Arabidopsis thaliana: one gene and its partners. The protein of the gene in region 1 purifies or fractionates together with the protein of each later gene. This does not show direct contact. Each region holds a gene or a part of one and is shown in the gene's direction. Other genes may lie near its edges.

Region 1 (7,787 bases):
CAAAGCTGAATGGAGAGGACACCATGGGAGACTTGTTCTCTTCATGGGAAACAAGAATACTTCTCCACTTACATCAGTTCAAGCTCTGATACTACCCCCTGCCCACTTAAGACTGGATCTGTCTCCAGTACCTGATACAATTCCTCCTCGAGCACAGGTACTTTTGTTTGTTGATTTATTTAAGTTTGACTACTCAATCCGTCATTTTCTACTCATTTATGCATAATGTACTAAGTGTTGCAATTTTTTTCATGGTTATAGGTACAATCTCCGCTTGAAGTGATGAACATCCGCCCTAGTAGGGATGTTGCAGTTTTGGATTTCTCCTACAAGTTTGGTACAAACGTGGTACGTACTGCAACAGTACTTAGCTTGTTTTGGTGAATGGTATATTTAGTATCTGTGACTCTACCTGATATGCTGGATCTTTTATAGGTCAGTGCCAAATTACGCATCCCGGCAACCTTGAATAAGTTTCTTCAACCTCTACAATTGACATCTGAAGAGTTCTTCCCTCAATGGAGAGCAATCTCAGGGCCACCCTTGAAACTTCAGGAAGTGGTATGTATCTCCACAGCTTCTCTGATCAAATATCAAACTAAAAGTATTTGAGTAGCGCAGGATAGTAGTCAAAGGCTTCTAAGAATTTTCTTTTCAATGAAATTAGTGAATTAGCTTTCGCTACAACACTTATAGAGAACTTCCAACACTTCTACACATGCTCGTTAATGCAGCATTACTTTTATGCGTTATATAATCTGATACTGCAATCTCTTTCAGGTAAGAGGTGTAAGACCTCTAGCTCTTCCGGAAATGGCAAATCTGTTCAACAGTTTTCATGTGACGATATGCCCTGGGCTTGTAAGTAGTTGTTTACGATCTCAAACCTTCATTCCTCATGCACACATGTATACTTCAAACTTAACTTGTATTGTTTTTTGTCGTAGGATCCAAACCCTAATAATCTAGTGGCAAGCACAACCTTCTACTCTGAAACTACAGGAGCCATGCTCTGTTTGGTGAGATTTCACCAAGTTTCACTTCCTGGTTTTGGCACTTGCCACTCCAATTTCTAAAATTTCTTAAGACTTATAGTAATGACGTGTGACATTTTCCTTGGTTTGCGATTTTCAGGCAAGAATTGAAACAGACCCAGCGGACAGAACCCAACTACGATTGACAGTAGGCTCGGGAGATCCTACCCTTACATTTGAGTATGATATATCTGCCTCTTAATCACAAACCCAACCTCGATCACAGATTTTCTTCATTTGCAATTGTTGACCCCTTTTATCTACAGGTTAAAAGAATTCATCAAGGAACAATTAATTACTATTCCAATGGGATCTCGAGCTCTAGTTCCAGCAGCAGGTCCAGCACCATCACCAGCAGTTCAACCGCCTAGCCCAGCGGCTTTAGCTGATGATCCAGGAGCTATGCTTGCTGGCTTACTTTAAATTCATTGGGATAAAAGATTACTTGCACATGTCGAAAAGTTTGTTTTCTGTTATTGTAGAATGTAATGGCGAAAATATGGAATGATGGGAGAGTAAATGTAGAGCCAAGGGAGAGAAAAAAGCTAGTTTTGATTATATTTGTGCCGTTTATCCAAAGCGGGCGGGTTGCGTTAGGTAAGAAATTTTGCATTCATTCTGAACATTTGTATTGTGAGGTCAGTGGTTGTATCAGCTTGTTCTTGTGCCTATATATTTTCAATCTGTTTCTCCATGAGTTTTCTGATGGGAGGTCTGTTTTTTCGCACCAGCCTTCACATTGAGAGATTTTAATGTTGTCATAAAGGGGGGAAATTGCAAAAACACATCCAACGCATAGCATTTCACCTGTAAAAACCTGATCTAATTTGAGGTGTGAATAGAGTGGGGACTTGGCCTTGGTGGGACATTCAACCGACATATATACAACCAGATTTTTACTATTACTTTGAAGAATATAATTGAAAGAAAATTTTTTTTTTACTATTTTTAATTTTCTTACAAACTGCTTATGGATTTAAAAGCTGTTTTATCAATTTTTGCATGATTTTTTTTTGTTTTTACTACATAATTTGTAATTGACAAAAGTATGATTTTTTTATATTACTATATCATTTGTAATTTTGCAAATAAAAAAAAATATAAGAACCCTAGATCCGGGGCTTGTGAAACAAGAGTGATTAAGCAAAATTTGAGTAAGTCTGACTTTTGCAAGTTTGCTTCACCAACATCAATGTCGCTCAAGTTGAAGAAGCAACTTCTCTTAAAGTATCGAATACCCTAAAATTTGTCATGCCTTGAAGAAAAACTCAACCGAGATATTGGAGCTGTTCGAAATACCTAAGAAATCAGCCGATGTTGCTAACGCAAAGGGACAATATCTTCCATAAAACTAAAAATGTTCAATAAGCAGGGCCGACCCAAATCTAAAGCCCAGCAAGCTGATGCTTTATCATCACAATCATATAAAAGCCTTGTAGTTTAATGGTTGGTGCTTCCATTAGTTATATAAGTTTACGAGTTCGATACTCAAACTGCCAAACAACAACATCCTAGGAGCATACGCTATCGCCGTCACTGCTTTTCTAGCTCAACAATTCGTCCTATTCATCGTCTTGTAGATTATGATCTTGTTATGAGACACATTTAGTATTTCAAAAACGAGAGTAGTGACAATACTTTCCTATTCACCAGAGTAATTTGGTTGCAATGATTCTAGCAAAATTGTTATCTGAAATATAGAGTATCTAAAATCTTTATTCAAAAGATTTCATAATACATTGAGTAAAATTATAAAATGCTCATAACAAAAAATAATCAAATCAGCACTGCGTATAAACCATTTGTTTCGTTCCCACTAATACCAACAAATACCATGTCTGACGAAAAAAAAAAAAAAAAAGTTGGGACCAGCTAAACCATTGCATGACCTGACCTGACCCGAATTCATAACCGGATTTTCTCATGGTACATTTTTTTTGTTAAGGATTTTCTCATGGTACATTGAATTACAACTGAATGCATTGACCGCGACAGAAAACAGTCATTTTAAAAATAAATGAAAAAGTGAAACCAGAAACAGCAGTAAATAAATATTACCCAAAAAGGCAGAAGGATACACTTTTTAACAAAATATTACGCAAACTTATAAATCCTCAAATTTAGTCCAAATGTCTAGACGCGTTAATTCTGTTTTTCGACGGGTCAATTTCGGATTCCAATTTCAAAACAGACAAAAACTGAATTACACAAAATTGAATAGTCAAAGTTGTAAATAAAGAAAAATAAAAGTCGTCTCTCGTCTCTCTCCCGCAGGCGTGTCTCTCTTCTCCAAAGATCAGTCTCTCCTTTTGAATTTCTTCGATTGAAGGTGCCATTTTCCGTTTCTAGATTGGGATTTCGATCTCACCTCTCTCGAATTGCTTATGCTTCAGCTTTAGTCTGTGGTTTATCTCGTAGTTAGATCCGGTGCCGCGAGTTTGGATCTGCGCCGTGTGAGGCGGCGGAGCACGGTGGATTTGAGGATTTGGTTCAACCATGACCGGAATGAGAGGTCTCTCCGTATTTATCAGCGACGTTCGTAATTGCCAGAACAAGGAAGCGGAGAGACTACGAGTTGATAAGGAGCTCGGAAACATTCGTACATGCTTCAAGAATGAGAAGGTTACTCTCAATTCTCTCCATTCTATTTTCTATGTTTTGATTCTCATTAGAGAGGTAATTCAGTGTCGAGTATCCGCTGAGGTTTTGGTTTATTAGAGATATTGGAGATTTATCCTTCGCAGTTGCAATGCCAATGCAATCGAATGTTAGAGCTATTAGGTTGATTAGGGAGTTAGATAAGAATGTAGATGAAACAAAGATACAGTCACTGGTCACATGCCGAGTGGATAGTTTTGGAGCTTGTAGTTTCTTACTTTATCGGATTGAGGCAATAAATTTTGATTTAACACCAATTGTGAAAATAGATAGGCAGTATAATGTTGCCGTTGTATAGCTAGCTCAAATCCTTGTAGATTAGCAATTATTCTACCTTTTGAAACATCACTACTATTGCTTTCAACTTGGAATTTCATTACTGAATATATGATGACATTTAGGAACTAGAAGAAAAGAATGGTCTGGCAGTAAATTCGGTTATGTAGTGATGGTCTAAGAAATTAAATCATGGTCACGGAAAATTTTGAATAGCTCATTACGAAGTAGATTAAGCTTTGTTGCTGTAAGAACTTCTGGAGTGAAATTCTTGTTCCATCTTACACGTAGCAGAGCTGTAGCAGGCCTGTAGTGGATCCATGTGTTTCCAGTTGGACCAACATTAAACTTATTCTTTTTCGGGGTTCATGTTAGAAATGAATTAATCAAGAACTCTTTGATTACTTGACATTCTGTTTTATTTTTGCAGGTTTTGACACCATATAAAAAGAAGAAATATGTCTGGAAAATGCTTTATATACATATGCTAGGCTACGATGTGGATTTTGGCCATATGGAGGCGGTTTCTCTTATATCTGCGCCAAAGTATCCAGAAAAGCAGGTAAACCAACGTTTTGTTTGCTCAAACAAAGAAATTTTTCTTTGTAAGGCTAGGAGAAGATAATAGATGGAGGTGTTTGCTGAAATATATTCTATTGATCAAGCTGAAACAAAGAAAGTTTCATTGAAGATCACACAGTTAGATCTAGATACCATTTCATGCGTTTGCAACTTGACTTGACCTGGGAAAGTATTGCAGACAATTACTTATAAGCACGAGTTACTTAGTAACATCTTAGAAACTCTTAACCAGAACCATGCATTGTATCTCAAGGGTTTGTATTTCCAATTTATATTGTTTCATGCTCCTTAACTAATTTGCAGGTATTGAACTTTTCATCCATGATTACAGGTTGGCTACATTGTTACATCTTGCTTGCTCAATGAGAACCATGACTTTTTGAAGTTGGCAATAAATACAGTGCGGAACGATATTATTGGTCGGAATGAGACTTTCCAGTGCCTAGCACTGACCTTGGTATGTGGTCTTTTGTCCACCCTGTATTGAGATTTTAGAGCATAGTTAGGTTCTTCTGATTATAAGATGTTGTTAAATGACTGTTTTAATGGAAGTCTTTGGTACATTATGTCTTTTGTGCTCTATCATTTCACGATTCAGAGCCACTTACTTCATGAAACTGGTCCTTTCTTTCTAGCTTTCTTACCTTGCCATGCTTACGTTCTCCTGTAGGTTGGAAATATCGGTGGAAGGGATTTTGCTGAATCATTGGCACCTGATGTTCAAAAGCTACTTGTAAGTGACTCCTAAAGATGAGAGGTTATATTTTTTTCCAATATTACTAAACATATTATGTTATGGGGTCTCTTTGCTGCAGATTTCTAGTAGTTGCAGACCTCTTGTAAGGAAAAAAGCAGCACTGTGCCTACTGCGCTTATTCCGAAAAAATCCTGATGCTGTCAACGTGGATGGCTGGTGTGTATAACACTGTGGGGTTACTGGTTCTTTGATTTTACTAGTGCATCTTTCATATTCTCTTTGTCGTATACTTCCAGGGCGGATCGTATGGCACAACTTTTGGATGAACGAGATCTTGGTGTCTTGACGTCTTCTACGAGTCTTCTTGTAGCTCTGGTATCTAATAATCATGAGGCGTACTCAAGTTGTCTACCTAAATGTGTCAAAATATTAGAACGCCTTGCTAGGAACCAAGATGTTCCTCAGGAGTACACATACTATGGCATCCCATCTCCTTGGCTCCAGGTTTGACTTAACTCGGCTTATTCACTCTTGTTTAATAGCTTAAATATTCTTTAATCGCATCCTTTTCACAAATCCTGTGCATTTTAAACATTTTATGTGAAATTAGCTTATGAAAATAGAGGCTTGGCCCAGCTTTGGTGTATTTTTGTTACTCAGTTAAAGATATCGTGGATACTTATATATCTTTGGTTAGTACAGGTTAAGGCAATGAGGGCTCTTCAATATTTCCCGACCATTGAAGATCCCAGTACCAGAAAAGCTCTGTTTGAGGTTCAATATTTTCATGTGTAAATCTGTAATATATGTCTTTGAATTTCCTCTCATGGCATGGCATTTCATGGAAATTTCAGGTCCTTCAGCGAATATTGATGGGGACAGATGTTGTGAAAAATGTGAATAAAAACAATGCGTCTCATGCTGTGCTGTTTGAAGCTCTATCCCTGGTAAGTTCGTCGGATAGCTGGGGAAATGTTGATACCATGAATTTTACTAGTGGGCACCTATTTTTCTCTCTCTTCCCCTTCACCCCTGCTCAACGTCCTGTAAAGACGCATTTACTCAAAGCAGACTACTGATGTGTGCATGGACGTTTAAAATATATTTTTTGGCTTTGCTAGAGAAACTTCAAGTGTTTGAATTGCTTGCAGCTAATTGTACGATATTCTTTGTCTGTTGTTTTTCTTGTGTGAAAGTAAAATAAATTTAGATGCTCTGCTTGAAGGTTTCGCCACTATTTCTAAGAGGTTTATCATGGATAGTTGACTTAATTGTTCCTAACAGTTCTCTGGCTTAGTGTGCAACCTCCTAACTTTTTAATGTGTTTTGATATAGGTCATGCATCTTGATGCTGAGAAGGAAATGATGTCACAGTGTGTTGCTCTTCTTGGCAAGTTTATTTCTGTCCGTGAGCCCAACATCAGATATCTAGGCTTGGTGAGATCTTGCATACCACTTCCTGCATCTAAGCCTAGCTGGAGTAGTTTGTGAAGTGGTTGGTGGTTTCTCATGATGCATTTTTTGACAAAATTACAGGAAAATATGACGCGGATGCTGATGGTCACAGATGTTCAAGATATCATAAAGAAGCATCAGTCTCAGATAATCACCTCCTTGAAAGACCCTGACATCAGGTTGGTTTAGATTTGCCATCTAAGCATCAGCTTTTCTGGCTTGTGAACCCGGATCAGTATCTCGTTACTGTTCTAATTTGGAACCAGTACGACAGTTTTTCAATCATCAAATCGGTCTTACTTCTTATGATTTAATATACCGTTTTTTACTTTGTCTCTATAGTAGTTGTGAATAAGATTATTTCTGTCAGCATTAAAATTATTTGATTTGGGTAGTATATATGAAATTTTAAGAAAATGGGATCTATATTTTTTAGTGAAACATTATTTGTTGATTTGTTTTCTTGTGATAAGCTATAGGTATAATTATATGTGGTATACGGTCACATAAGAAATATTATATTATTATATTATTGGCCGGTGGGTCAGCACTATTTCGATGACGTTTGTTAGTAAAAGATGGATAAGTACCACAGTCCATTATGTCTTGATCTTATTTCCATTGCAAATGGTGGCTTCCGTTTTACAAACATATAGTTTGATTTATCATCTCTTGGTTCTTTTGCTTATGGTGTCAGATTCACTATTGGTTGAACTTTCCTGCAGTATTCGTAGGCGTGCTCTTGATTTATTATATGGGATGTGTGATGTGTCAAATGCAAAGGATATAGTCGAAGAGTTGCTGCAGGTAAGTCTTTGACCTTACTTTATATTAATATTTCTTGATTTTTAGTCTCCTTATGATTTGTGAAGTTTAACAGAAAGGAAGGATTAAGTTGTGTAGTGTTTAAGCTTACATGGAAGCTAAAAATATATTGCAGTATCTTAGCACAGCAGAGTTTTCCATGCGGGAAGAATTATCACTTAAAGCTGCTATCCTTGCTGAGAAGTTTGCTCCTGATCTATCATGGTGAGGATAACTCGATACGAAGTATATGTACACTTCATTCATGCACACAAATTTGG
Region 2 (7,046 bases), on another chromosome or scaffold:
CCTTTCTAGTTCTTACGCTCTGTTTATACAATTTCCAGTTCTATGTATAATTAATTATGCTGTTTCACATGCCATATACTTGTTATGCTTCATCTATCTAAAACTATCTTCTTTCGATGAAGGTACCCTGATGGAGACCCAATTTCTGATGATGACAAGACGTTTGTCCTGGAGAAGATTTTGAACTTCCATCCCCAAAAAGAGACAAAGCTTGGTTCTGGCGTTGACTTCATCACGGTAAACAACATTTCTCCTTAACAAACTTAGCTTCTCTTCTAAAGCTTACTTAGCCTTATGCCTGATGTGAAATTCTTGGTTGAACAACGATGTAGGTTGATAAGCACACCATCTTCTCAGACAGCAGGTGCTTCTTTGTTGTCTCAACTGATGGGGCCAAACAGGACTTTTCATACCGAAAATCCCTCAACAACTATTTGATGAAGAAATACCCTGACCGTGCTGAAGAATTCATTGACAAGTACTTTACGAAACCTCGGCCTAGCGGAAACAGAGACAGGAACAACCAAGATGCCACACCACCTGGGGAAGAACAGTCTCAGCCTCCGAATCAGTCTATAGGTAATGGAGGTGACGACTTTCAGACACAGACTCAGTCTCAGTCTCCATCTCAGACTCGGGCTCAGTCTCCATCTCAGGCTCAGGCTCAGTCTCCATCTCAGACGCAGTCTCAGTCTCAGTCTCAGTCTCAGTCTCAGTCTCAGTCTCAGTCTCAGTCTCAGTCTCAGTCTCAGTCTCAGTCTCAGTCTCAGTCTCAGTCTCAGTCTCCATCCCAGACTCAGACTCAGTCTCCGTCTCAGACTCAGGCTCAGGCTCAGTCTCCATCATCTCAGTCTCCGTCCCAGACGCAGACATAAACTCTTGAGAACCAAAGAAGATTTGGTTCGTTTAGGTAAACCATTCAGTCTCCACTGTTTTGTTTTGATGTACATAAAGAGTGGAGAGAATGGCGGTTTTTATCATTAAAAGACTCTGATGTGAAGTGCAAAACAATGTGTAAATGCAGTTCTCTAGTTTCAGATCGTTTGTCCTAAAATCAGGTTTAGGGTTTCAGTGACCGGTTTAGTTATAAAGTCTAGCGGCATTGTAGTGATGTTTTGACATTGACTATTTATCGAGCAATGCATTTGCCATCTCATTTGCTTCTTGTTTGAAACCTTCGAGAGACGAAAATGATTGCCTTTCTAATCGCATAAGCACATGGTTAGAAATTATATCTTGTGTTGACCGATGCAGCTCCTCCGGCAGAAAATCATCTAATTCAAAGAGCTCTTGTGTAATTGCACGAATTGAGAAATCAGTTTAGTTTTATGAAATTGAAATCAATAATAGAGAAATTACATTTTATTCAGATGCATGGATACATTGTTTAAATACATTCATATGAACATTCAACACGGTAGCCTACATCATATATTTTCCCTATACAACGGTTCTTGCAAGAACCACATAATGGTCGAGAAATATTACATTTGGGAAGAACTTGAACCCTGCATACCCATTTATTGAAATATTGACCGGGCTTGATATATGGGTCTCCACCAATTAAGCATTCAATATGAAAAGTGGTGCAACACTCGTTGCACCAGTAGAATACTTTTGTGCATGTATCCTTTAAACTACGTTCACATATTTCACACCATTCTTGCTCACGTACTTCTTCACCAAATGAAATTGTGAGGAAGTGTGTGTCATGCTTATATTTTATTTTGTATGGTAAGGTAACACACTTAAAACATACAATGAAATTGCATTTGATGCAATTTAATTGTTTTAAACATTCTGTTTTGCATATATGACATATGGGTTTTATTTCTGGGTTTAAAGCTAGGAACAAGGGATCTTCATGACCTTTGTAATCAAACGGCTCAGAAATTAAAGCGCACCTTACATCAAGCTTGAAAAAGTTGCATACCTCCATCCTACAGTGATAGGCAAAGCCAATAGAACCACGATCACAAGCGTTGCAACGGAAGGTATTGTAAGTAAAGCTATTGATAACCTCCAATACAAGTGGGTGAGGATGTAAGGCATGTTGGATTCTACGGGGAGCCTTAGCACATGTTTCATGGAGGATGAAATCACACTCCATACAAACATATAAGTTACCTTCATAGATAGGAATGGCACACGCTTGACAAAGCATGTTTTCATCATAAACGTTGCTGACCTCGAGTCGGAGATGATGATTATGATGAAAATAAAGTATCACTCCTTCAGATATCACCTCGAACGGTCCATCATTTTCTGTTATATCGATTATCTCTGGTATACCTTCGAGTTCTTTTCCATCCCACACATCTTTCCCAAGAGCGCATATTGAATGAACAACATAATCGCTACACGTGTCACAAGTATATGCACCATAATCAACGTTAATACTTAAACGGCAAACTCCACAAAACCATTCTCTAGATGTAAGAGAAAAAGTGAACGAGATACGATGACGGTGACGTGATATCTTGATGATGTGTGGGGAATTCATACAGTCATTATGAGTTACAAAGTTACATCTGAAACAAACGTAGGTGGGATAAATTTTTCTCAACAAACCACAAACATTACAAGTCAAGGAAGTTTGTCTGGGGAAAAAAGTGAGAGGATGGATATGCTTTTTTGGTGGGTCTATAAGAAAAGGTATTGGCTTCATCGCACATATGGGATGCATAAAAGCCTGGCATGTGGTGCAATGATAAATCAACCAATGTGCTTTTCTTCCACAACATAAACACTCAATCTTACGAAAGTTATCATCATGAAAGAAAAGTTGGAGATAGTGCTCAGGGTGGTAAGGATGTTTGATTATAAGTGGAGATTGAATGCATTCTTTGTGTAATTTTATGCTACAATAGTTGCAGAAATAATAGTCGGTGCCGGAATTTGAGCCTTCGCATATGTAGCATCCACCATCAGCATCAAATTCTTTATTGTTGCACCAAAACAAAGGGAGTACATGATGATCATGAGAGGTCGTCGTTGTAGAAAGGACGTACTCGGGGGAAGAATTAAGCGGATAAGTGTCTGAATACGACTTGATTTTTCGACGTCGTGATCGAGGGCATAAGAAAAGAGGTTGAAGGTCACTGGAGGAGGTTACGGTCTGTGTTTGGGGTATGGGGCAATATTTCGGATGATGGTATACCAAAACAAGGTTACCATCCTTTTCCACCTCATAAAATCCTCCGACGCTAGAATCCATGAATGTGTTAAGTCTTTGTTTATTTTTGTTTTAGGCTTTTATAAAAAAATATTTGTCATACAAGATATCAAGTTGTTAACATTTTTCCTCTATAAATACGAAAATTTGATTCCAAAAGTTTTCTTCTACTCTTGATTATTAATATACTTAAACGTGAAAACATATGGTTGATTTTGTTCCTTTTCTCAGTAGTTGTGATGATAATGTTCTTCTTTACATGCAAATAAAGAATCAACTTTTCTTTGCACATAGTTTTGTTCATTTCTGATGTTCCATGACTTCAAGACTCTATATTAATCGTGCTCAATGATTGTGCCAATTCATTAGTAGTGTATAATTTGAGACTTTGTGAACTCAATCACGAAACACACAAAAAGAAAATGAAGGTTTATTCAAAAAAAAAAAAAAAATGAAGGTTTGAAATGGAAAATGAAACAATCGTACCAAAACCAAATTGCAAAACGTTTTAAACAAGAAAAGAAGAACACGTAGTTTCAATGATCCGGTTGAATTAGAAAGTAGAACAACCGAACCCACACTAAATTGCAAAACGTTTTGATTAAGATAAGAAGAACACGTATGGAACATTAATTGTAATCTAATGGATCGGTTGGAACCTAAACCATAACTAAACCGGAATACTCATGATGAATTGGAAGTATTTGGGCTCGAAAAAAGCCCATTAAGAAAAATGGAAATAAAAATAGTCACAAATCTCCGTTATTAATTTTTGCCATAAGCTTGAGAACACTTGAAAAGACAAGATTCGCGAGTTCTTCGTTCTGCCTTTTTTTTTTTTTTTGTGTGTTCGAGAGATGTCTGCCTTTGAAGACGATTCCTTCGTCATACTCAACGATGATGCGTCTGAGTCTGTTCCAGTCTCAGGCTCTTTTGACGCCACTGATTCTTTCTCAGCTTTCGACGGCTCACTCCAAGTCGAGGACTCCGTCGACGATGTTTTTGCAGCGCCGTCTTCTGACTACGGTGCTTACTCCAACGGTGACGGCATCTTCGGATCCAACGGGGATCACGACGGTCCTATCTTGCCACCACCGTCGGAGATGGAATCAGATGAGGGATTTGCTCTTAGAGAATGGAGAAGGTTAGATCTACTCAAAGTTTTGATCTTTGTTGCTTTTTGTTTACTTCTTCCTGAAGAAAATCGATAAAGTGGATAAATTTAGTTGAGAATCTCTTTGATAATCTGAGAATTTCAATTTTGAATTTTGATTCACAATTTTTGTGAATTGAAGTTATCTGCTAGTTAGTGTCCATTGTTCTCAGAAGTAATCAGTTTATTAGATTGGATCTGTTACTTTTGCTTAGAGTTTATTGCTCAAATCGTGTGTTCTAGAATAACATCTTGATCCGTAAGCTTGTAATGCTTGTTGAGTTGATTAAGATGTATAGATCTGATTTCGTGCTATGGCTTTATTATGTTTATGTGTAGACAAAATGCAATTCAACTTGAGGAGAAGGAGAAGAGAGAAAAGGAATTGTTGAAGCAAATTATTGAGGAAGCTGATCAATACAAAGAAGAGTTTCATAAGAAGATTGAAGTAACTTGTGAAAACAACAAAGCAGCTAACAGAGAGAAGGAAAAGGTTTGTTCTTTTGCTAAAAGATTTGAATTTTTTATCATCTTTTCTCAATCTGTGTTGTTGTCATGTGGTTTGTGGAGAATTGTCAATGCAAGTCAATGGCTTGTTGATATTAAAATTTTCAAACTTTGACCATCTTAGTCTTAAGTCAACTGTGATTGATTATCTTAATGCATTGTCAGTTTTGAGATTATCTTAATACATTGATTATCTTCATTACGTGTGTGATCTTTGATACCTTTTTATCTGCATATTGCATTGTTACAGTGTTGATTAAACTTTCACTTATGTGTTTATTTGTCTTTGAACACTTAAGCTGTATCTGGAGAACCAAGAGAAGTTCTACGCGGAATCCAGCAAGAATTACTGGAAGGCAATAGCAGAGCTAGTTCCTAAAGAAGTTCCAACAATAGAGAAAAGGAGAGGAAAAAAAGAGCAACAAGATCCTAAGAAGCCAACAGTCTCTGTGATTCAAGGTCCAAAGCCCGGTAAGCCAACCGATCTAACAAGAATGAGACAAATATTGGTGAAGCTCAAACACAACCCACCTTCTCACCTGAAACTCACTTCTCAACCTCCATCGGAGGAGGCGGCTGCTCCTCCAAAGAATGTTCCCGAAACCAAGCCCACTGAGGCAGTTACTGCTGCTTAAAAACCTCCTTTGTTTTCTTATTCGTTGCTTACATCTGTGTGAATTCAGTCTTTGCATTTCATTATGTGTTATAAACAGCTGAGAGATTTTATGGTTCATGTGTGTTATTAACATAATTATGTCATATTGGAATGATAACTTTTTATGTTTTAGTCAGTTACCATTGAATAGTGGTTAATATCTCAAATCAATCGGTTAAAGGATCCATCCATTTTAGGGTTAAAGTAGAGACGAGAGTGGAGAGGTTTACATAAAACATCAAAACGCTACTTCACATATCATCATTATCAAACTCGTGTGATAATTAAAACTCACAAACAATAAAAGAGAATCTCAAATGTGAACGTTTTACAAAAGGCTTTTCTTCTTTCTTCCTTCATCTCCCTTGTAAGCTTGCAGGGGACCTGCAACCTCTCTCGCTGCCTGCGTCGTCTTCCTTTTCACTTGCCTCTAAGCAAATGCCATTGTTGTTGCAGACACTGATCTCTGAGCTTGCGTTGCTGCTTGTTGCTAGTGGAGAAGAGTCTGAAACATTCATCGGTCTACCACGTGTATGTCCAGACCTCACACTGTACATTGATGATGCTGGAATATTCGTCATTAGTGGTCTCAGGTTCCCTGGAATAGTTCTACGTATATCCTGTTTTCATCAAAACGTTTGATCATCAGTTAAACGCAATTGCCACCACTTGAGGAAGAGAGAAGAGAGAGATACATACCATATGCCTTATTGCCATATCAAGGGACTTCTTGGAGAGCGTTCTTCCAAATCCTGCACTGTCGGGTGATGAAGACTTTGCAGACAAGTTACCATGAGGAGAACCCTTGTCATCTGATCTGGGTGGAGCAAGTTTCCGCATGTTTATTACTCTCTCCACCATTTTTGTTCCCATCATCACCGGACTAACATTGTCACTGGCTTTGGAATATCCACGATTAACCGCAGGAACAGAGCTACCACTAGAGTACATTGGTGCTCTTCCTCTTGATGGTGAACATGATTGCCTTCTTGGTCTTCCTCCTGGAGGGCCCCCTGGCTCAACTGAACCAGAACGAGAGCTTGGAGCTCCAGGTCTGCCTCTTGTCGCTGAAAGTGGCCTTTCGGGTAATGTTGTCCTTAGATTTGGAGGAGTTTCTAATGAGAAACCAGGCATGTCTGACGGCTTCCATGGTCTTGACCTCACTGTAGGAGATGCTGCACGAGATAAAGCAGGGTTCTTAGATGGTGTTGGCATAGGCTTTGCTGGCGCTGGAGAAGAAGGCTTGATTTGGGATATTGTGGGATTTGCTGTAGTAGTTGCAGCACTTGCAGAAGCAATTGGACGGCGAGTTGGTGTAGATGACCTTGATATGGTTTTAGATGGAGGAAGTGTGGGTCTTGAAGTTGGTGTTGAAGATCTGGCAGTAGATCTTGACAGAGGTGTGGTGGACCTTGAAGGACCTGCAGATTTTGTGGTGGTGCTAGGGGTAGATCTAGTTACTGAACCAGCAGATCTAGCAGTTGAGGTAGTCGGCTTAGATGCAGTAGGTGTGAGCCTAGATGATGATAAACTTGTTGACCTACTCATAGGCGTGG
Region 3 (8,395 bases), about 11 Mb from region 1:
TCTTGATCAGATATCTTATTTTGCTGCATTATGTTTTTTTTTCTCTGACAGAGTAAATTAACAAATCTACATCTAAATGTAGGCAAGATAATTGTGATGATGCTAGAGTCATATAAAACCAAAATTTATAAGTGGTTTCAAGTATCAGACAAATGAAAATGAGTTGGATGTGTTTCAAATTTCGTTGTCCTTTTTTAACCTAACACATTTGAAAAGCTTTATTATACACAAGTGAAAATAAATTTGATTACGTGGGTGAGAATTTGTTATCAACACGACTAAGACTTATAATTTGTCGTGTTAGGTTGAAATATTACTATTTGTCCACAACCTGGTGACAGCAGAAGACCGAAAAAGAAAGAAAATAATATCAAAATATTTAATTTAATTGATCTACCTATGACTCATCGACGTAATAATCATACAATTACTAGTATAATATAAGGTAATCATCCAATAATAAATGTATATTTAATGAGTAATGACGGCGATTATGACAGACCTAATATAAAACTAAGCCCACTAATGTTATAGTTTCATCGTAGATATTTTATTTTTCCTAAGTCCTTGGCTTTAAACTATTTTATTAACATTTTAATTTCAATCACATAGATACTGTTGTTAATTAGCGATTGACTAACAAAAATATTACAAGAATATACGAATTTTTTTTTTCACGCCGTTCGGCAAATTATATTCTTGTAGATATTAGTATTTTTCTACAAGTCTTGTAGTTATTATTTTAGTTATTATTTTAGTTGATGTATGTTTATATATTAAAAATCCAAAATAAATCATCACCAATTAGATTCATTGTTTGTAAGAAAGAAAAATAAATTAGATTCATAGTATTTGAACTTTCTCTAACATACTTTTCAACTAGGTAAGCTTATCAGAAAATCAATACTTTAAACTTTCTTTTTGAGAAAATGTTATTTTCTATTTCATTTTTTTTCATTGCATACAAATATATACTCTGTTACCTTTATGCAAACAATATAGCCAAAATCTTTATAAGTTTCATAACCAGTTACGATTTTCAAATATTATTTACTTCTTTAAACTGCTTAGATTCAGATGCAATATGAATCATATATTAATAATCATTCCTTGCTATTCAATTTATAACAAGAATCTAAAAACATCATATCGAGCGAAAATTGGAGGTCTTGTATAAGAAAAGGATTCATATGTGTGCAAAACAGAGAACTTGGTAGTAGTAGTAGAAATACACAATTGCACAAATGTGTTTAGATAATCCCAAAGAGAATCACTGTCTATTTTCAGAAACTAAATTCACAGTTAAATAACATTATAAGTTCTCAAGAATCTAATGGATTGATATCGAAATTAATGAAACACAAGTTCTAACCTTTCTCTGATTCAATCACACACTATTCAGCAAATCTTTCTCCTTGGTTTTCATTGTTCAATGCATTAATGGCTGAAGTTTCCCATCAGAAGATATCACTAAACCTCTCACTTTTGCAGCTTTTGTTTTGCACTTTCTTGGTAAAGTCTTGCAGTTTTGGTCTTCTAAGAACTCATCTGCAACATCTCCGTCTTCATCAATCTTAAGCCGCATCGAGTACCAACGTAGTCCCTGATCCAAATAAGAGGTTCGCTAGTAAAATTCTCGGCTCAGACTCTAATTTGAGTCAATGCCATCAAGAAGAACTCAATGAACCAGATACACATAATCGCAGAAAGATAACTGAATAATCTTGGCAATATAAATCTTCTTGCTTATTATCGTCTTTCTCTACCAATATAACTAATTAAGATTCTTTAAGGTCTTTATTTTAGCATGGGTGGCTTATGATTAATACTTGTTTCGAGGAACTTTCTTCTGCCGCAACTAATCTTACAACAAGCTAAACCACATATCCCTGACATGGCAGTATCTTAAGGACTATACATTAACTTTACGAGCAAAGATGAATGAACAGAGAGTAAGAAAAGACAATGAACTACAATTACAAAGACATCAAAATCTATAAGATCATTCAGAGAATTTGGAAAAACCATAAAGAAATGACGAATGTAAAGTCATCTACTGAAGCATATAAAGTACTTTTTATGAAACACAAGCATATCGAAGCCAATCTTGAGGCCATATTAAAGTGAAAAAAAAGCAAGGCACCCGCACAGAACATGAAATGAATGTAGGCCACAGAGACGACTGAATCTTCGCAAACTCACAAACCAATTTATTATCCAACTTAGTGTGATCCAAACCAAAGGTATGAATACACAATCCAGCTACAGAACTAGCATGAAACTGCACTATGTGATACCACATTACAGATCTTCGTAAGACTTAACCATAACTCTTTATCTAGCTAGCAACAAGTAATTCACATATTCTCATGAATTTGATCAATCCCTAGAGTTTCACTAACCAATATCATCAGTCAAAAAGGAAAACTGACCTGAACACCACCGTCTAAAGCAGCACAAGGCTGAAGAATAGGACCAGGATTCGACCGTTCAACAGCAACTTGAACCGGTACACCAAAACCTTTCCTTGGTCCAGTTTCACGAAATCTCGTCTGATTCTCTTCCCGACGTTTATCTCCATCACCAGAAACAGTTCCAGTGTTGTTATCTCCACCATCACCATCTTCATCTCTCACAGCTCCATGACCACCACCACCATCGTTATGACCAAAACCAAGTATACCCGTTAACTTCTTCAAAAAACCCATTAACCCCAGATATCAAATTCGATCTAAAGCCCTCAAATTTAACAGCTTTTCTCTCAAATGAATGATCTTCCAAAATTAGGGTTTTCGAATATCCCTTTCCTCTCCCGATTTTTGCTACTTTCTCCGATCGCTTCTTAATCCAACAATATTCATTTCCTACTGTTAAAACCCAGAAATCTCTGTCTTTAATCTCTCTCTCTCGTGAACACTGTGTTAATCTTCTTATGCACTGCAACAAATTATAGAAAGATGAATTTTTTTTTGGATCAAAGACGGATCGAGCAAGATCTTCTTTTTATCATTAACGGCGCGGTTTCTATTAATATACTAAATAAATATTCCACATTTTTTTTTTCTCTCGTGAGTGAACAAAAAAAAAAATTGCGATCATTTACAGTTTTACTTTTACACATCACTGACATCAGAGAGAATTGAACAAAAAAAATTCGAAAAGTTTCGTGTTAATCATATATATGAAAGTTGGCTAACTCTCTCCAAATGATTGACACATCATCATTTTAGCATTTGCCATGTGTCTATTAAGTAATTAATGTAAGCTCTTCAACTTCTAATTTATAAGTTAATGATATATTTATTATTTAATTTTACATATTTAATTATAGTATTACTAAATTTATTTTAATATTACATGATTTTTCAATAAAACCATTTAATAGTTTTCTCATACTCGAAGATTTTTTTTTGTAATCCAAACTCAAAGTATGAGTATATAATAGTCGTGGATTATTTAATGATTTGAGTAAGTTATTTTCTTAAATTGATATTATATTCTCTTAAATTTATATTTATACAATAAATCATTGAGGTTGAAGAATACGTAAGGAGCTCCATCATCAAATTCTTAGGTTTCTAGAATCCAAAACTACCCTCTCTTAAGTTGGTTTAATACAAACGTTATTTATGAATTATGTGTATGATGCATTGTTGAGAATGTTGTTAGAAAAAATATTTTTAAAATTAAAAGGAATTGTTTATTGTATAAGTGAATAATTAGATAAATAAAAATTATATTTAAATTAAACAATACGAAAAAAATCCGAAAATACCGCGGCGTAGCGCAGGTGATCACCTAGTGTTAATAATTGAAAATTAAGAACTTCTATACATTGTTTGTTACCTAACCATTCTTCATATGTAAACAACAATTAAAAATGATGAAGGATATAATGTACTACAGGCCCATAATTGAGACGCACAGGCCCAGAATCGAATAAGACCGGCCCATTCCAAAATGACGACTGAATTCAATTTTGTTTCTATTTTTTGATAAAAAAGAAATTAAAAAAATATCGCATTTCAGTTGTTCAACTTCTTCGTCGTCGTCTTCTTCCTTTGCTCCGTCGTCGAGATCTCGTCGAACCTCAAATCTCAAATCTCCTGTAACCAGATCGTCTAATTATCCGATCTGCGTTTCGAATCTCAGATCGAAGATGCCGGTGGCTGCTTCCGCCATCTATTTTCTGAATCTCCGTGGCGATGTACTCATAAATCGCACCTACCGAGATGACGTCGGGTAAGAGAGCTTCTCCTTTTCTTCACCGTCGATCTCTTTAATTTTTTGAATTCGGCTTCATTTTCAGCTCCATGTTTTGTTCTTATCGCTTCTAAGTAGTCGTACTTTGTAGGATTTTAGCTGTGAGATTTGAGATTTTAAAATTTTGATTTGATTTTGATACTTAGGGGAAACATGGTGGATGCATTTCGTACGCATATAATGCAGACGAAAGAGTTAGGGAATTGTCCTGTGCGTCAGATTGGTGGCTGCTCCTTTGTTTATATGCGAATCAGCAATGTCTACATCGTCATTGTTGTCAGTAGCAATGCTAATGTTGCTTGTGGATTCAAATTTGTTGTTGAGGTAAACTTGTTTTTGTGTTTCATTTTAATATTCCACAATTGTTTTGATTCTTGTTCAAATTTCAAGAGAGTCAGATTGATTCTATACACATACTGCTTTTGATTCACATTTTCAGGCTGTAGCTTTGTTCAAATCATACTTTGGTGGAGCTTTTGATGAAGACGCTATTAGAAATAACTTTGTTCTGATTTATGAATTGTTGGATGGTAAGTAAGCCTGATAGGGTCATGATCAAATCACTTTCTTATCACTTGTAAAGTTGCATTAGTCGTTATATGTTATTCTATTTTGTGGTAACACCAATGAATGATATTTTGTATTGAATTGCAGAGATTATGGACTTTGGCTATCCACAAAATCTCTCACCTGAAATTTTAAAACTTTATATCACTCAGGAAGGTGTACGGTCACCATTTTCATCGAAGGTAAAGGCATCTATTTGTTTGTGTATACAACAGATTTTGTAATTGTGTTGGTGTGTGGTTCTTCGAAGTTAAGCAGTATTTCCCGCAATAAATAGAGATTATGTTGCTTCTTCACTAGATATGTTTGCATTCATAAGCTTCTTTTCATTACAGCCAAAAGACAAACCTGTTCCAAATGCAACATTACAAGTTACAGGTGCTGTTGGTTGGAGAAGAGAGGGCCTTGCTTACAAAAAGAATGAGGTGAGTGTTGAGTTTCTTTCTGTGTGTATGTAGATCGGCTAGGTTGTGCGGTAGTGATGATATTTTGCATTCTCTCAAACGCAGGTGTTTCTGGATATTGTGGAAAGTGTAAACCTTCTGATGTCCTCTAAAGGTAAATAATTGCCTTTTATGAAGTTTTTTGAAGTTGTCTTTCTTGTTGATTTGCTGTGTATGACTGGTTTTGCATTTTATGGAAACGGTTAGGCAATGTTCTTCGGTGTGATGTGACGGGGAAGGTTTTAATGAAATGTTTCCTTTCGGGAATGCCTGATTTGAAGTTGGGGTTGAATGATAAAATTGGTCTTGAGAAGGAATCAGAAATGAAATCTCGCCCAGCTAAGAGGTATACGTTGTTAATACATTGAACATCAGTAGCCACTGACTTTTCTTTGTGCTAACTGACTCTCGTTTTGTGCAGTGGTAAAACCATTGAGCTTGATGATGTCACATTTCACCAGTGTGTGAACCTGACCAGATTCAACTCCGAGAAGACTGTTAGTTTTGTACCACCGGATGGAGAGTTTGAACTGATGAAGTAAGTTTTCGAATGTCCACTGTTGCAAATTGTTCTGGTACCAAATGTGTATTAACTTTATGATGTCTCAGGTATCGAATAACAGAGGGTGTAAATCTGCCTTTCCGTGTATTACCAACAATCAAAGAACTTGGTCGTACACGTATGGAAGTAAATGTCAAGGTACATAACTTTTCTCAAGGATTACAGGATACAAAAAAATTGGCTTGATCTTTGCTCTCTTACAATCCCTTCCCGTGTTTTGTCTGTTCAGGTCAAAAGTGTGTTTGGTGCTAAAATGTTTGCCCTTGGGGTCGTGGTTAAAATTCCAGTGCCAAAACAAACAGCCAAGACCAATTTCCAAGTGACAACTGGTCGCGCTAAATACAATCCATCAATCGATTGCTTGGTTTGGAAGTGAGTTTATATAATTTCCCCTCATATTCATCTCTATAATTCTTTTGTTGGTGTTTTATCAATCATTCGGCATCTTTCTCTCTTTTACTCTTTAGGATAAGAAAATTCCCAGGGCAAACAGAGTCCACGCTAAGTGCAGAAATTGAGTTGATCTCAACAATGGGAGAGAAGAAATCTTGGACAAGGCCACCGATCCAAATGGAATTTCAGGTCAGTCTTTGTCTCTTTTAGGCACTGTTAAATAGAACCAGATTTGCTTAAAGCAATTATTAACCGTCTCAGCTTTGTTCTTTTCTAGGTGCCAATGTTCACAGCATCTGGTCTGCGAGTTCGTTTTCTCAAGGTACGCATTGTTATCTATGCTTTTGAAAGTACCATCCTTCCAAAAAATGCAATGCTAAGTAGCAGAATCTCTAAGCCATTGTGTCATTAAATCCGTTCAAATCTTTTATGTGATTTGCGTTTTGGTTAATCTGTCTCTGGTCTTTCAAAAATTGATTGCTATACTACTTTTTTGGACCTGACTATCCGGAACGATTGGCAGGTTTGGGAGAAGAGCGGTTACAACACGGTCGAGTGGGTTCGATACATAACGAAAGCGGGATCTTACGAGATCAGATGCTGAACATTAAACACAGTTCAGGTTCAGTGACATCAGACTTAAAAGTTTCATGGCTTCTAGTTTTTTGTTCCTTATGCAAAACAAAAACAAAAGAGTTAAATATGTTTTATACCTTGTTTTATGTTTGTTTTGTCGATTAGAGATATCTGTGTTAATATGATTTCTTATGTCTTAATTTGGTATTGAATTCTGTTTTTCTTTCTTTCTCTGTTTGTGAAATTGTACGAGATATAGTTTAGATTAATTCTGGTGTAATCGAACGTGATAGAGTATTTGTGAAAGCAGTCGGATTCTTTTTAGTAGTAGAATCGGGTGTAATATGTTAATGAAAACAAATTTTACTTGAGAATAGTTCGAACTTCGAAGGTTTTTACACATAACATAGATCGTTAAAATCTTTTGTAAGTCTACTAATTCTTCAGAAACAAACGGGAAATTGTAAAAGTAATAGACTATCAAAGCTACACCCAAGTACGTCTTTCACTCGTGGTTGGTTATGCATGATCGAATTTCTATAACTTCGCTTATGGCAAATGTGGTCATGGTGGTTCTTTGGACTGTGTCATGTGGCTCTCTGCCCACAAGACACCAGATATCATGGATACTTTGCTACTCACATGCAACTCAAATATGGTCTAAGACAACAAACATGATTCTATTGAACTGCTTCTCCATCGATTGGGATCACCTCGTCGGTATTCTGAAATCCACAAGCTGGGTGTCTTGTTTTTGCATCACGTTACTTTTCAAAGTTCCCTATAATGTTTGACGAGAATGCAACAACCGACGACATGGATACCTTCCACAAATATCAATAACGAATTCTGAAGTTTAAGGATTTTTAACTTCAGAATTCGTTATTAATCATTCACAAGTTATTGTGTTATTTTTTATAATATATCCAATGCAAATACTCTTTTTTCTCATCTCCAAACTGAAGTATTTTTATTTTTATAAACTCTTAATAAAAACGGATGACCACAAATATTTCTGCTATAATTTGGATGATAATGAAAACAAACCAACTACAATCTACTAAAGATTCAAAAATATTTTCTCGAATGCTTAAACCTCACGTAAGTAAATACCAAATCAATTCAGATAAAATTAACAAAACAAACTCAAATAAAATCTCCTAAAAATCCTATAAATAAAAAGATGATTTCATTTTTTTTCTTCCTATTAAATTTACATTTTCCGCCACACTTCATCTCTCCCACTAGTCTCTCCTCGAGACTCTCTCTGTATGTGTGCGAGAAGCGAGAAGCGAGAGAGAGAGAGAGAGAGTTGTTAGCTCACACGCTTTCTCTATTTTCTCGGAATTCACAAAACAGAAAGTTTCATCCTTTACGAGAATTAAGCCGAAAGAAACAATCTTTGAGTTTGATTTCTTCTTCCTTCCTTCTCTCTCTCTGCTCTAATGGATTCCAGAGACATCCCACCGTCACATAACCAGCTTCAACCACCACCGGGAATGTTAATGTCTCATTACCGTAACCCTAACGCCGCCGCTTCACCATTAATGGTTCCCACTTCCACATCTCAACCGATTCAACACCCTCGTCT

What was found.
Region 2: the proteins of alpha-ADR (region 1) and CLC2 purify together in Arabidopsis thaliana (affinity purification with western blotting, with the first as the bait; one study listed by BioGRID). This does not show direct contact.
Region 3: the proteins of alpha-ADR (region 1) and AT5G46630 purify together in Arabidopsis thaliana (affinity purification with mass spectrometry; 4 studies listed by BioGRID, with this or other methods). This does not show direct contact.

Annotation. Positions count from the first base shown.
Region 1 is NC_003076.8:7,583,770-7,591,556, reverse strand, and holds the start of alpha-ADR (alpha-adaptin), read left to right. Parts: upstream 1-3,234; 5' UTR 3,235-3,530; coding exon 3,531-3,656; intron 3,657-4,398; coding exon 4,399-4,530; intron 4,531-4,881; coding exon 4,882-5,007; intron 5,008-5,220; coding exon 5,221-5,283; intron 5,284-5,365; coding exon 5,366-5,463; intron 5,464-5,543; coding exon 5,544-5,751; intron 5,752-5,949; coding exon 5,950-6,021; intron 6,022-6,101; coding exon 6,102-6,194; intron 6,195-6,582; coding exon 6,583-6,684; intron 6,685-6,783; coding exon 6,784-6,881; intron 6,882-7,427; coding exon 7,428-7,509; intron 7,510-7,642; coding exon 7,643-7,731; intron 7,732-7,787. Other genes in the region: AT5G22780 (Adaptor protein complex AP-2, alpha subunit), read left to right, coding at 1-157, 262-348, 436-561, 781-861, 948-1,019, 1,135-1,214, 1,301-1,457; AT5G22785 (uncharacterized protein), read right to left, coding at 1,713-1,841, 1,852-1,914. UniProt on the Arabidopsis thaliana protein: Subunit of the adaptor protein complex 2 (AP-2). Adaptor protein complexes function in protein transport via transport vesicles in different membrane traffic pathways.
Region 2 is NC_003071.7:16,722,532-16,729,577, forward strand, and holds CLC2 (Clathrin light chain protein), read left to right. Parts: upstream 1-3,892; 5' UTR 3,893-4,032; coding exon 4,033-4,319; intron 4,320-4,667; coding exon 4,668-4,821; intron 4,822-5,134; coding exon 5,135-5,470; 3' UTR 5,471-5,676; downstream 5,677-7,046. Other genes in the region: NRPD1B (nuclear RNA polymerase D1B), read left to right, coding at 123-237, 333-875; AT2G40050 (Cysteine/Histidine-rich C1 domain family protein), read right to left, coding at 1,388-3,217; AT2G40070 (flocculation FLO11-like protein), read right to left, coding at 5,847-6,110, 6,190-7,046.
Region 3 is NC_003076.8:18,916,421-18,924,815, forward strand, and holds AT5G46630 (Clathrin adaptor complexes medium subunit family protein), read left to right. Parts: upstream 1-4,017; 5' UTR 4,018-4,159; coding exon 4,160-4,242; intron 4,243-4,409; coding exon 4,410-4,587; intron 4,588-4,702; coding exon 4,703-4,793; intron 4,794-4,917; coding exon 4,918-5,012; intron 5,013-5,165; coding exon 5,166-5,255; intron 5,256-5,339; coding exon 5,340-5,388; intron 5,389-5,480; coding exon 5,481-5,619; intron 5,620-5,694; coding exon 5,695-5,811; intron 5,812-5,882; coding exon 5,883-5,973; intron 5,974-6,064; coding exon 6,065-6,207; intron 6,208-6,302; coding exon 6,303-6,417; intron 6,418-6,505; coding exon 6,506-6,640; 3' UTR 6,641-6,751; coding exon of another isoform or gene 6,752-6,832; 3' UTR 6,833-7,025; downstream 7,026-8,395. Other genes in the region: AT5G46620 (uncharacterized protein), read right to left, coding at 1,430-1,603, 2,433-2,708; AT5G46640 (AT hook motif DNA-binding family protein), read left to right, coding at 8,250-8,395. UniProt on the Arabidopsis thaliana protein: Subunit of the adaptor protein complex 2 (AP-2). Adaptor protein complexes function in protein transport via transport vesicles in different membrane traffic pathways.